3 linked regions of the Macaca mulatta genome follow. The protein of the gene in region 3 interacts with the protein of the main gene of each other region in a biochemical or structural test. Links are inferred from orthologs where the notes say so. Each region holds a gene or a part of one and is shown on either strand. Other genes may lie near its edges.

The links. The genes of interacting proteins can lie anywhere in the genome.
Region 1: the proteins of NHERF2 (region 3) and PODXL form a complex in vitro, tested with the Homo sapiens proteins (3 studies listed by BioGRID and IntAct, with this or other methods). The link is inferred for Macaca mulatta from reciprocal best matches to the Homo sapiens genes NHERF2 and PODXL.
Region 2: the proteins of NHERF2 (region 3) and SLC26A3 form a complex in vitro, tested with the Homo sapiens proteins (2 studies listed by BioGRID and IntAct, with this or other methods). The link is inferred for Macaca mulatta from reciprocal best matches to the Homo sapiens genes NHERF2 and SLC26A3.

The regions. Positions count from the first base shown.
Region 1 is NC_133408.1:171,258,525-171,263,197, forward strand, and holds the start of PODXL (podocalyxin), read right to left. Parts: upstream 2,949-4,673; 5' UTR 1,343-2,948; coding exon 538-1,342; intron 1-537. UniProt on the Homo sapiens protein: Involved in the regulation of both adhesion and cell morphology and cancer progression. Functions as an anti-adhesive molecule that maintains an open filtration pathway between neighboring foot processes in the podocyte by charge repulsion.
Region 2 is NC_133408.1:147,411,823-147,416,567, reverse strand, and holds the start of SLC26A3 (chloride anion exchanger), read left to right. Parts: upstream 1-1,797; 5' UTR 1,798-1,931; intron 1,932-4,745. UniProt on the Homo sapiens protein: Mediates chloride-bicarbonate exchange with a chloride bicarbonate stoichiometry of 2:1 in the intestinal epithelia. Plays a role in the chloride and bicarbonate homeostasis during sperm epididymal maturation and capacitation.
Region 3 is NC_133425.1:3,257,238-3,261,383, forward strand, and holds part of NHERF2 (Na(+)/H(+) exchange regulatory cofactor NHE-RF2), read left to right. Parts: intron 1-212; coding exon 213-413; intron 414-3,937; exon of another isoform or gene 3,938-3,995; coding exon of another isoform or gene 3,996-4,076; intron 4,077-4,146.

The DNA.
Region 1 (4,673 bases), on a different chromosome or scaffold from region 3:
GCACACATTGCTTGGAAAACCCTCTCTGCAAACGGGTAAGCACATTGCCCGCGTGGACAGTGGCTGGAGGCTTGTCACCTGCTTCAGGGACTTCCTCGGGAGCTTCTCGCCTGCCTCTTTGCCTGGAATTAACGAATACACAATATAGCCCCACATTCCCTCCAACACGAAGGAAAGGTGTAATCAGATCCCAAGGGTCCCGCAGAAGCGTCGAGCCTCGCGGTGCTGTCTCCCTTTTCTTTCCCAAGCAAACCCACTTAGCACCGGCGCGCCCCTGTCTGCCCGGGCAGAATCCACTGCCCACTCCTCCCGAGTGGAGACTGGAGACGAATCCACGCTCGGGCCCTGCACCTGCCGCGTAGTGGAGTTTGGAGGGGGCGTGGATGGTGCAAGGTCAGGGCTTCGTGTATCACCCCGGCGGCGACAGGGCTGCTCCGGGTCAGACCACGCGGCGCGTCGGGCTTCCCTGCAACCTGGCAGGGTAGGGGGCACACGCACACGGTGGGGCATCCGGCGGAGCCCGGGCCGGCCACTCACCATCCTGGGAGGCCAGCAGCGGCGACACCAGCAGCAGCAGCAGCGCCGAGAGCGCCAGCGCGCAGCGCATCGTGTCCTCGCCTCTGGGCCGGGAGCAGGTGGCTGCGGGGCCGGCGGAGGGTCCGCGCGTCCGGACGGTAGGAGAGTGGGCGCCGCTCGGGGAGGCCTGTGGGTGGCTCCGGCGACCGGGCTGTGGCCCGGGGCTCCCGGGTCGCGCTGCGCCGGCTCTTCCTCCCTGCTGCTGCCGCAGAGCGGGGCTGGGGCGCAGAGCCAGCAGCGGAGGAGCGGCGGCGGCGGCTGCGTCCTGGGCGGCGTCTGCGCGGCTGCGGCCCCACTGGCGGCTGCGGCTACTCCTGGCCCGTCCCGTCCGCGCCGGCCCCCGCCCCCGCCCCCGCCCCTCCCCCTCCCCCTCCCCCTCCCCCATGAGCCCGCCCACGGCGGCGGCGGCCGGGCAGGGCGGGGCCGGGGCTGGGCGGGCGCTGGGCCGTGAACAATGAGCAGAGGAGGAAACTCCGCCCTGAAGCGCGGCGGGCGGGAGGGCGGGCAGCCTCCGCGCCTTGGGGGGCTTTGAATGTGTGCGCGCGGGCCGGGGCCGGGGGCTTCTGCGGGGCAGCTGGGCCCCGCCCACAGGTGTCCCCCCGAGTGCTTCTGAGTGGGCCTGGCGGGAACCCCCAGCACACAGCAGGGGCCCTCGCACTACGAGCAAATCCGGAGCGGGCGGACCTCCAGCCTTGCGTGGTAGCTGATAACCATTCGCGGCCTCCCGGGCTGCGGCGCGTTCTGCAGCGACCCCGGAGAAGCTCATCTCCTACCTGCCAAGTGCAATTCACCTGCCGGCGGGCCCCCATCCCGCACGACTTCTGAGCGGGTCCTTGCAGCTGGGTGTGCACCGGGCAAGCTGGACTAATTCACTGCTTCACCTCTCCAAGGCTAGGTTCCTTACCTGTGAAATGGAGATGATGGTTAAAAAAACAACAGCAACAATTTCAGGGATGAATGTGTGCCAGGCTTTACGTATATTAATTCGTTTGCTCTTCATGACAACCATATTTTTAGCCTCATTTTGCAGACAGGGAAATTGAGTCAAAAAGAGGTTAAGAAACTTCCTGAGGTCACATAACAGGTAAGTGACAAACCTGCCTCTGAAAGTAGTTTGGAGAAATACCGTGCCTGGAATATAGTAATTGCTCTGCAAGGAGTGGTTGTTACTTTTATTCCTGCTATATAAAGAACAGTTACAAAGATTTAGAACTTTTGGGTCAAAACAGACTTGGACTCAAAACCTAACTGTGCCAATCTGTTAATTGTAAAACCCTAGGCAAGTTATTCTCAGTACCTCATTTCTTTTCATCTGTAGAATAGGGATAATAACACCTACCTCAGGGGGTTACTGGGAGACTTAAATGTGATCCTACAAGATAATACTTAGCCTAGGGCCAGGAACACGAAAGTCTCAATGAATGAAGTAGCTCGCCCTCCACGTGAGGATCAGAGATATTTGCACATTGCGGATGGGAGTGAGTTTTGGAGAATTCCGTAAACTGAGTTTATCTGGCGTAAGAACAAAGAAGTTCGTCTCCCCTCCCCCGCTCCCCTCCTTTTTACCCCTGAAAGCTGCTTGGGAGACGCAGACCCCAGGACCGCCTGAGGAGGAGGCACATCAGCGCGGCCGCGAAGCGGAGGGGGCGAGGGGTGGTTAACCTTGGAACCGGGGTACGGCGTGAATTTGGCTCACGTGACTCCGGAGCTGCTAATCTGGAGTCTCTCTGCCAGATGGGGCTGGGTGGAGGGGTTTTCCCCAGGATCTAGCCGCGTCCCGGGGACAGGGTACTTCGTGAGCCCCTGAAGTCGGTTGTAAGCAGGCGATGCCTGCAGGGCAGTGCGTCCCTGGAGCCGCGAAGGAAGCTCTGGAGCCCTGGATGGGGTTCCGTGGCAGCCGGCCTCAAGCTTAGGGGAAGGGCTGACGGGGCTGTTTTCATCAGGAAGTTTCTGCAGGATCGTCTGGCCCCGTTTTCCACACCGCATATGGGAAAGACAGAGGGTGTTCCCGATATGTGTGTGTGTGTGTGACTATCTTTGATGTTTTTTTAGTACTGTTCCCCTGACATCATGTCAATAAAAGGCCTGTTTCTCTTCTGAAACCAAGCAATATATACATATTTTTTTTTAACTGGGATTTTTTTAAATGTGTATAGCACGCTGTCTGATTTAAACAGTGTTTTTGCACTCAATCATTCAATTTCTCTAAAAACTCAGAAGCAATCACGTTAACTTTATAAAGAGAGCGTATATTTTGAAGCTTAGGGCATTTTAAATGCACATGATTTGGGATTGGCGCCATTACAAGATCATGCAAAATTAAAATGAGAGCAGACATCTGGGCTTAGAGAAGACACAGAAAAGTGAGAATTGTGCTGAACTCTCCCCAGTATCCAACAGCCCCCCTCAACTTGTGTACAACGTGGCTTTCTGGAATGAAGCTGGCTGGGTTTTGAGGTCACTGGTGGCCAGTGAGATGAGCCACCCCAAGGTAATTGGCCTGTGCTTTTGGCCCCATTTAGCATTGTGCTCCAACTAGTGAGTTCGCCAGCCTAGAACACCTGAGCTTATATTTGAAACCCAAAGCACTTTATGGATGCTGTCTTTGAAGCTTTTCATCAGGAAGTTTGCAGGATCATTCCTTCTGAGGTTTGTTGCATTTTGGTTATTTTCCTGGGTTCAAGCGATACTCCTGCCTCAGCCTCCTGAGTAGCTAGAATTACAGGCATCCACCACCATACCCTGCTAATTTTGTATTTTTAGTAGAGATGGGGTTTCTCCATGTTGGTCAGGCTGGTCTGGAACTTCCGACCTCGGGTGATCTGCCCTCCTCGGTCTCCCAGAGTGCTGGGATTCCTGGCGAGAACCACTGTGTCTGGCCTTCACATTTTTATCAATCAAATGGTTTTGCTGCCCCATGGGCGCAGAAGCCAATACTATGGAACACTAGCTTTTGAGAAAGTAGTGGCTTTGTTTGCAAAACTGGTCAGCAAAGAGACAGGAGTGAATTCAAATCTGTCTCCCCAGCCAGGCATGGTGACTCATGCCTTTAATCCCAGAACTTTGGGAGGCCGAAGTGGGCAGATCACCTGAGGTCAGGAGTTTGAGACCAGCCCAGCCAACATGGTGAAACCCCATCTCTACTAAAAATACAAAAAATAGCCAGGCTTGGTGGCATGCGTCTGTAATCCCAGCTACTTAGGAGGCTGAGGCTGGAGAATTGCTTGAACCTGGGAGGTGGAGGGTGCAGTGAGCTGAGATTGCACCACTGCACTGCAGCCTGGGCAACAGAGCAAGACTGCATCTCAAAAATAAAAGAAAAAATGTCTCCCCGATTTGGGACCTGGGGTAAATTTATGGGATCCGAAGGCAAGGGAAAAGATTTAGGAATGTTGACCTGACAGAATCTGATTGGAGGGCTTTAAATTTGACTGTTTGGCCAGACGCGGTGGCTCACGCCTGTAATCCCAGCACTTTGGGAGGCCGAGGCGGGTGGATCACGAGGTCAGGAGATCAAGACCATCCTGGTGAACACGGTGAAACCCCGTCTCTACTAAAAATACAAAAAAAATTAGCCAGGCATGGTGTCAGGCACCTGTAGTCCCAGCTACTCAGGAGGCTGAGGCAGGAGAATGGCGTGAACCCGGGAGGCGGAGCTTGCAGTAAGCCGAGATCGCGCCACTGCACTCCAGCCTGGGCGACAGAGCAAGACTCCATCTCTAAATAAATAAATAAATAAATAAATGTGACCATATACAGAAAGGTATGTTGAGGTGGACTTTTAGCCCCACATCTTCCAAGCCATTGTACCTCTGGCTTCTGAGAGAGTTCTGGCATTCGGGTTCCCATCAAGTCTCTTAGTCATTTTAGTTCCAGGGGAGATTTCTATTGCTCATGCTGGGGGCAGCATGACATTTTGTTATCAACAGAGTAAGCCCAGTTTGGGCTTGTCCTTCAGTTACAACATCATACATACAGATACAGATCTATAGATACAGATCTTGAATGCAAATATGAATGTCACCTGGAAGATATTACGCAGGAACCCATGGCACAAGGTTACACATTTTTCCATGGCCCCTGGCTGTCAATGTTAG
Region 2 (4,745 bases), on a different chromosome or scaffold from region 3:
ACTGCGCATACAGTAGTGAATTCACCAAAGTCCTTGCATGCGTGGGGCTTTTATTCTAATGAGAAAGCCAAACATTAGCCAAGTAAATAATTGTGTATTTTAAAATTATGATGCTATGTTTTAAAAAGTACATGCAAATTAATCAAGGGACTGAAAAAATACTCTGAGAGAATACCACAAGAGGGGCTAATTAAGATTAGGAAGTCAAAGTGGTTCTCTTTGAGAAAGTGATGTTGAAGCTAAGCAACAGTCAAACTGAGAGGGAGAGAGAAGCGCATTTAAGCAGAGGAAATGATGTCTGCAAAGATTGGGCAAATTTGCGACTACAAGAGGCCACCATGGTGGGAGTGGAGAAAACAAAAGTAAGAGCAAGGTCGGATGAGGTTGGAGAGTTGTGCAGGGGGAGATCATGCAAAGACTTTGGAAGCCTGTTTTCCTCCATATAATCATCAGCCCCACAAAGAGGACTAGTGTGAAAAGATCATTCTGATTAATGAGTGGTAAAGAGATAGGGAGGGCTGCGAGAGGAAGCAAGAAATGCAGCAAAAGGTAAGAATTAAGATAAAGAAATGATGGCTTTGGGATGTATTTTGGAGGCATACTCAATAGGGCTTAAGGATGGAATGGCTGCGGGTGGGGAGAAGGTCTGCAAGAGGAAGCGTCAGAGATAGTTCCCAGGTCTCTGATGTGAGTAAAGGGGAATATTCTTTACTGAAATGGGGAAGACTAGAGATGGAGCACATTTGGGAGGAAAGATCAAGAGGTCTTAATCTCAGTATGTGTTGTGTTTGAGATGCCTACGAGGCATCCAAGCAAAGATGTGGAGTAGGCAGTTAAATACGTGGACCTAGAGGGCTGGGGTTAGAAATCTGAATGTTGCTGGGAGCCATGGACTCTTATTTAGGGTAAGAGGGTAGCAAGAGAGGAGAAGGAAATTCAGAACAGAATCTTAGGAAATGCCAAAGAAAGAGTTAGAGGAGAAATTGGCAAAAAGGATGAGGTGAAAAAAAAGTGTGTTAAAACATTTTTTTAGCATTTTAAGAAAAGAAGATTTTAGCCTGGCATGATGGCTGAGGCCTGTAATTCCGGCTACTCAGGAGATTAAAGCAGGAGAATCACTTCAGGCCATGAGTTTGAGACCAGCCTGGGCAACACAGCAATACTCATCTCTAAAATGAATTAATTAGTTAAATAATTTTTTAAATAAGAAGAGGAGTTCATGAAAGAGTAGTCAGCAGGGCCAAATGCTTTTAAGTAAGATGAGAGTTGGAAGTATTCATTGTGTTTAGCAACATAGGGTGTATTGCTCTTAGGAAGGGCTGTAGTGGGGGCAGAAATTGGAATGCAAATATGGCCTGTGGCTGGGAGTTGGGTGAGTGTTCCTAATGAGGGCCTTTATCCTACCAGGAGTTAACCTATACACCACACTTTTGTAGCCCATGACAGATTGCATGGAGTCATCCAGACAAAGAACACCACCACTAAGCTCTCATCGAAACAGGTTGGTAAAATGTCAAGGAGATAACCCTTGAGAAGATTCTTTTTTTTTTTTTTTTTTTAAGTCCACGTGTGCATCACTGTGCAAATCTCTGCAAACCAATGAAATTACATACACACAAGTGCAATGGGTGGTTTAATCTCACAAGGAACTTGAGGAAGCAATTTTCATCATCACTGCTGATCAAAGTCTCAAAGGTCAAGACCACATTGCAGTCTTTTCATTGTTGTAAAAGTTAATGAAAGTTAATTATTAAAGCTGACAGAAAGGTAACTTGTCCTCTGTCTTACATAACCTATATATAGACATCCCTATGCATATGGATGCACGCAGAGCCTGTAGACCTGAGTGGATGGACACTGCCTCTTAGAACTAGAACTTTATCTTGAAAATATATCACTGTTGCTGAAGCTCCTCACTGAGTAGGTGTCAGGTAGGAACCAAATTTATGATTGTTATATTCAAACTGGTTTTCTGTTCCTTGAGAATGGTATTTTTTCTGATCAAGCCTATTTAGGAGTTATTATGTTCTTGAGTTTATTCCATGTGTGTGAATATTTTGAATGAATCCACTAATAAGCTATGCATGTATGTCTGGAGTGCTAGCAATGTGGAATAAATATTTAAGTAGACTTTAATTTAACAAGTAAATGGTTGTAAGCATCATTAAGTTTTAAACAGTCTTTTCAAAGATATTAGTGTTCTTGTTTTAATTATTCAGATAATTCCTTTAATTCTCCACTCAAATCTGACTTTATAGATAGATTATCTGCTCTGAGGGTTGGGGGAAAAAAAAGCAAGCTTTAAGGAAATAGTTTCTCCAGGAGACAGAATCGCCTACTAGAAAGGATTCAGAAAGGCCATCTGGTCCCAGCCAGGCATAGGAGCATGTACCTATAGTCCTAGCTACTCAAGAGGCTAAGGCAGGAGAATAGCTTAGCCCAAGAGTTCGAGGTTAGCGTAGGCAACATGGCAACACCTTGTCTCTTAAAAAAAAAAAAAAAAAAGGGTGGGGGGACATCTGTTCTAGAAGTGAGAAATTTATCTAGATATCCTAGAAAGTCCAAGACTAAGGGAAACAGGGAGAGAAGAAAAGGCAACGAGAGTAAGGATAGAGAATGGAAAGAGAAGAGAGATGGGGAGACAATGGTTACTGGAAAGTAGCAGAGTGCCCTATGCCACAAGTAGTATAATATAATATAATATAATATAATATAATATAATATAATATACTTAGTAATATATGGGTACTTATCCCATACATTACTAACTCTACCAAGGTAAAATCTATTTTATTCTTTAAAATGTCAGGAAAAGATTATACAACTTTCTTTACATATGCAAGTGAGGAACAATTTATCAAATTATTGGACTAAATAATTCTCTTTTCTGAAGAAAGTCATTTGGAAAAATTGTGTCATGAAATTTTACTGCATAAACATCATTCCTTTTTTTCTTTTTCTGAGACGGATTCTCACTCTGTCACCCAGGCTGGAGTGCAGTGGCACAATCTCTGCTCACTGCAACCTCCGCCTCCCAGGTTCAAGTAATTCTCCTGCCTCAGCCTCCCAAGTAGCTGATACTACAGGCACACTCCACTGTGCCTGGCTGAATTTTTTTTTTTTTTTTTTTTTTTTTGTATTTTTAGTAGAGACAGGGTTTCGCCATGTTGGCCAGGCTGATCTCGAACTCCTGACCTCAGGTGATCCGCCCACCTCAGTCTCCCAAAGTGCTGGGATTACAGGCACGTGCCACCCCGTCTGACCAAGGATTATTCCTAATGAAAAATTAGGAAGCAACTAATTTGATTTCAGAAACAAGTAAAATGTGGTAACACAATACATACTTTGCCTTCTCCCTCTGGATAAGGGAATAAGTAAGTATATAAAGAAATGAACAAATGTTTAATACCTCCTAAACAGCTCATATTAGACTAAGAAACAAAATCGTTCAGAAAATGAGAATGAACATTTTTCAATTACAAGAATAAATATGTAATAACACATTCTAGCTCTTCTCTACAATAAAGGTCTTGATTCTCCAAGGAGAAACAAAGAGCCTCCTCTAGCCTCTGTGACACTTTGTTGAGAAGCAAGGGGGAGAATAAAGCAAGTCACCTCAAGGAGATTGGGCCCCAGGCCACCAGGCTCATGTTTTGTATTGTGGATATTGAGTAAAGGAGTGTGAGGCTTTCGTGCTCAAAAGCAAGGACCTTGAAGGTGCCTCACCTTGTTCTTTTGCCTTGTCTCTCTTGGGGATAGGGGCTATGCCCCCTGACATTCAATATGTAGCAGAGAAGAACATGTAGTGGAGACAGTCAGTTATTCACAAGATGTGGCTTCTCATCCTGGCTCTGGAAAGTTGAGAAAGTCATTTATCTTCTCTCATCTCAATTTCTTCAACTGTAAATTAGCGATAATACAGCCTATCTTCTCTGCCTCCATCACACAGTAACACTCAAGGAAGAAAAGTGAAAGTGCTCAGAAAATATCAACGCCTTATAGAAATGGCCAGGGATTCTCTTTTGCCTTCTGTGAGCCTCCTGGGTGTGAAACCCCTTGCTATGGTGCATCCCAGCATTTCTCTAATGGTTTAGCCTATGGGCCAACACAGCCTTCTGTTTCAGTGTTTGGAATTCTCACTATTCTTTGACATGATTTGCTTACTCCCCACTGCTTTGTCATCACCCTTGCCAAACCTATCTGTTCTTTAAAGTCTAACCCAAGACTCAGAGTTCCTTCACAAAACCTTTCCTAACTCCAACCCACATTTACATCCCTTCTTCCAATTTATTATCTGCACCAATTATTGTGGGCACGTCTCCTGTATATGTGAACTTTGGTGTTTAGGACTACATCATTTATATATCTTTTGCTAATAGTTCAGTTTATTTCAACAAACTTTCTTGTATACTTACTGTGTCATAGGACCTATGCAAAAGGGGAAAAAATGGTTAAGATTTGGGCCTTGCCCTTGAAAAACTCAGTCTTAAAGGGAAGAGAAACATAAACAAATAATGACCATACTGTATGACATGGAATAGACACATATACAAGGTACTTACAAGAACGAAATTATTAACTCTATCCAGGGATTCCATGAAGGCTTTACATCATTTTCTTATCTTCTACAACTGTGTTGGGAACTGAGTTCCTGACAAATAATAGGCTAATACATGTTTGTTGAAGGAATGAAGAAATGAATCAATGGTCAGCTGAGTTGTTTTGTTTTGTTTTTAGAGACAGGG
Region 3 (4,146 bases):
TGGACCTCAGTGTCCAGAGCCCGGGTGCCGAGGGAGGGAGCCTCTGGAGTCTGGGGGTGGGGGGCGGGGCCGGCAGGCCTCTCGGTGCGGCCACCCGCCCATGCAGACCAGCTGCCCGCCTGCATGCCCGGGCCAGCCCAGAGTGGTGCCATTGCCCATGTGCTGCCCGGAATGCGGGCCACTGACCCGCTCCTGTCACCCATTCGCCCCAGGTGGTGCAGAGGATCAAGGCTGTGGAGGGGCAGACCCGGTTGCTGGTGGTGGACCAGGAGACAGATGAGGAGCTCCGCCGGCGGCAGCTGACCTGCACTGAGGAGATGGCCCAGCGAGGGCTCCCGCCCGCCCACGACCCCTGGGAGCCAAAGCCAGACTGGGCACACATGGGTGGCCGCAGCTCCGACGCTGGCAAGAAGGTATGGCGGGCTTGGCCCGCAGGGACCACCCTCGCCTCTCCCAGAGGCTCTCTCGGCTTTCGACGACCATCTTTGCCTCTGATCACCTCCAGAAGTCTTGGTCTCTTCTGCCTTTTGGGGCCCCTTTTCTGCCCCAGGGACCATCCTGTTGGCTACTGGGGGCCACTCTTTCTACCCTCAGCCTGTGTTTTAAACTGGGTAGGGTCAGGGCAGCCTAGCCTGTTCCTGTTCTCCAGGACGCTCCAGAGCCCCTTGCCCTATCGAGGGGTTACTGTGACAAGCTGCCGCCTCCCCAGCCCCCAGCCTCATGGCTGAGGAGCCCTGGGAATAGACATTCTAGGTCTGCATGTGCCCAGCTCCGTGCCTGTGTTGGGTGTCATCCGTGGCTCTGTCCTTGTCTCTCTCCAAGGAGCCTGTGTGCTGGGAAGGCCTGGGAGAGGGCTGGCCGCCTCTGCAGGTTGGGGAAGCCTAGGAGGCCACTCTGCCAGGCCTGGCATGGGTGGGGCTGGGAGCATGGGAGTGGAGTTGGGGGGTCCAGGTGGCTCCAAGGTGAGCCCACTCCTCCCCTAAATATAAGGGAGGGCCCTGGGACCCTGTCTGCTGTTCCTTCTGGGCTCCTGCTGGGTAGCACTTCTTCCTTCCCCTGCCCCTGCTCCCAGCCAGGAGACCCAGAAAAGTACAGGGGCCGCCTGCTCCACCTCCTGCTAGGTGGCCGCTGGGAGGGGCCACCTGGCAGGCCTTGAGGGCTAGGAGGAACAGCCTGAAACTGTGTGTCCTGTCTTCCTGGAGGCCCTGATGGCATTGTCTCCATGCTCTCCTACCTTGTTTTTCATTTTCAAAGACATCCCTGGCCGGGCACGGTGACTCACACCTGTAATCCCAGCACTTTGGGAGGTCGAGGCAGGCGGATCACCTGAGGTCAGGAGTTTTGAGACCAGCTTGACTAATGTGGTGAAACCCGTCTCTACTTAAACTACAAAAATCAGCTGGGCTTGGTGGCGGGCGCCTGTAGTCCCAGCTACTCGGGAGGCTGAGGCAGGAGAATTGCTTGAACTCGGCAGGCAGCAGTTTCAGTGAGCCAAGATCCTGCCACTGCACTCCAGCCTAGGGGACAGAGCGAGACTGTCTCAAAAGAAAAGAAAAGAAAAGAAAAGAAATAAATCCCTTTGCCGGGCGCGGTGGCTCAAGCCTGTAATCCCAGCACTTTGGGAGGCCGAGACGGGTGGATCACAAGGTCAGGAGATCGAGACCATCCTGGCTAACACAGTGAAACCCCGTCTCTACTAAAAAAATACAAAAAACTAGCCGGGCGAGCTGGCGGGCGCCTGTGGTCCCAGCTACTCGGGAGGCTGAGGCAGGAGAATGGCGTGAACCCGGGAGGCGGAGCTTGCAGTGAGCTGAGATCAGGCCACTGCACTCCAGCCTGGGCGACAGAGCGAGACTCCGTCTCAAAAAAAAAAAAAAAAAAAAAATAAATAAATCCCTTCAGGGGATTTGAGTCCAGGGGTTGGCCAGACCCCACTGTGAGAACCGTGCCTGAGGCAGGGGTGTGGGATCTCGAGTTTCTGAGGGTGCAGGGGATCTATACATTCACTTTCTCCCTTTCCCAAGTATCACTCCTGGAGCTGGCTGCGCCTGGGAGCTGAGCCCGGCGGGGGCATGTCTTGGCAGGGAGACGGCATTCCCTGTGGGGAGGGGGCACAGGCCTGGCCATGGGACCTGTGGGACCTGTTTTGTTCCTGGGGCTTGAGGGCAGGCCATGGTCGTGCTCAGGGCCAAGGTGCCCAGCCCAGGGCTGGTTGGGGGGCTGGCCTTGCAGGGGAGCAGGCTGGTCCCAGGCCCCTATCTCCAAGTTGAGGGTTGGGGCCTCCCTCTTTCCCAGGCACCCTGCCTCCCCCAGGAGGAAGCTCCGCCTCTACCTCAGGCGTTTGTCCATTGATTTGGACACAAATGCATGGTTCACCTTCCTGTGGAAAAATCTGGCCCTCGGACTTTATCTGGAGGGTGCGGTGGCCGAGGCACCTTGCCTTGGGTGGGACCTTCCCCCGTCTGCTATTTCAGGCTCTGGGGGCTGCAGGAAGCCCTAGGAGGAGCTTCCTCTGGGTATATTTTTAGAGGAACAAAGGGTGGCCTGAGTGGCAGGTCCCTTTGTGCATGAGTCTGGCTGGGGACAGGGGCTCCAGGAGGTCAGGGGACACCCAAGGAGCAGGGTCTCCCCTTCTGTCTTCTGGCATCGAGACCTGAGGTTTCTTTTTCTTTTCTTTCTTTTTTTTTTTTTTTGAGACAGAGTCTCGCTCTGTAGCCCAGACTGGGGTGCAGTGGCCGGATCTCAGCTCACTGTAAGCTCCACCTCCTGGGTCCACACCATTCTCCTGCCTCAGCCTCCCGAGTAGCTGGGATTACAGGCGTATACCACCATACCTGGCTAATTTTTGTGTTTTTAGTAGAGACGGGGTTTCACCGTGTTGGCCAGGCTGGTCTGGAACTCTTGGGCTCAAGTGATCTGCCTGCCTCAGCCTCCCAAAGTGCTGGGGTGACAAGCGTGAGCCACCGCGCCTGGCTCGAGCCCTGAGGTTTGTTCACCTGAGCTCCCAGCGTGGACAGGAAGAATTGGGGCTCACTGGACCTCCGCAGAGCAGGTTCAGATCCTGCCCTGCTCAGCCTGGGTTCAGGGTGTGCCTGAGATGCTCAGGGAGCCCAGGAGGGCAAAGCTTACCTTGCGGGGATGGCTCCAATGGGGGCGGTGGTGGCAGAGAGGCAGAGCCCTGGGAGGGTATGTAGCTTGGCTTTGGTGCAGGATGGAGAGGGCCCAACTCTGGGTGCCCCCTGGGAGCTAAGGGTGGTTCTCAGTGTCCTCTGTCCTGGCTGGGGATAGGGGAGGTGGGCAGGGGAGGACACTGATGTGGTCAGCCACTCCTTTTGGGGGTCATGAACGCCTAGTTAGTGATGACTCAGCCCTGGGCCACAGCAGGCTGGGGGTGGCCGCAGCTGCGGTGCAGCTGATCCTAGTAGTGATGACAGGGGACGGCCCCCAAACAGAGACGGGTGGCCAGCGGTGCCAGGCCCTAGAGGCTCAGACCCTGAGCCCTCTGCCCCCTGCCCCTAGCCCAGTCTCCACCTCCGTCTGGAGGGCCTTGGGGGCTAAGAGCAGGTGAGGGGTGACAGATCTGCGGGAGGCGGCTGTGTGGTTAGGGCGCGGTGCCTGTGGGGGCTTCCGGGCTCCTATGGCTCTTGTTCCTCTGGAACCTCAGCATGACAGTCCTGTGTTCTGGGGCTGGGACTCCTCCCTGTCCCCCCAGCCCTGGGTCCTGGGGCGGGCAGGGCCTTCCAGCAGCTTCCTTCCTTCCTTTCTTGGGACGGAAACCTAGTTGGGTGGGGGGCGCCGGGCTGGAGCCTTCTAAGGGGAGTGGGCTCAGTCATCACCCTGCTCCCCAGAGTGACTCAGCCCCTGCGTCTCCACCCATCCCCGGGGAGCCGGGGCCGCAGAGGGAGGTAGATAAGTGGGGTGGCAGCCTGGGTCAGCCAGAGAGTTCAGGCCACCCCGGCCGGACGCCTGCCACTCACTGCCGCTGTACCGCTGCCATGGCGCGCTCCGGGAGTGCCACGCCACCTGCCCGGGCTCCAGGAGCCCCTCCACGGAGCCCACCCCAGGGGCTGGTACAGGTCAGGTGGGGTGGGAGGAAGGGAGGGCTAGGAGGAACCAGCAGCCGCTCAGCCTCCCGGGGTGGGAGGA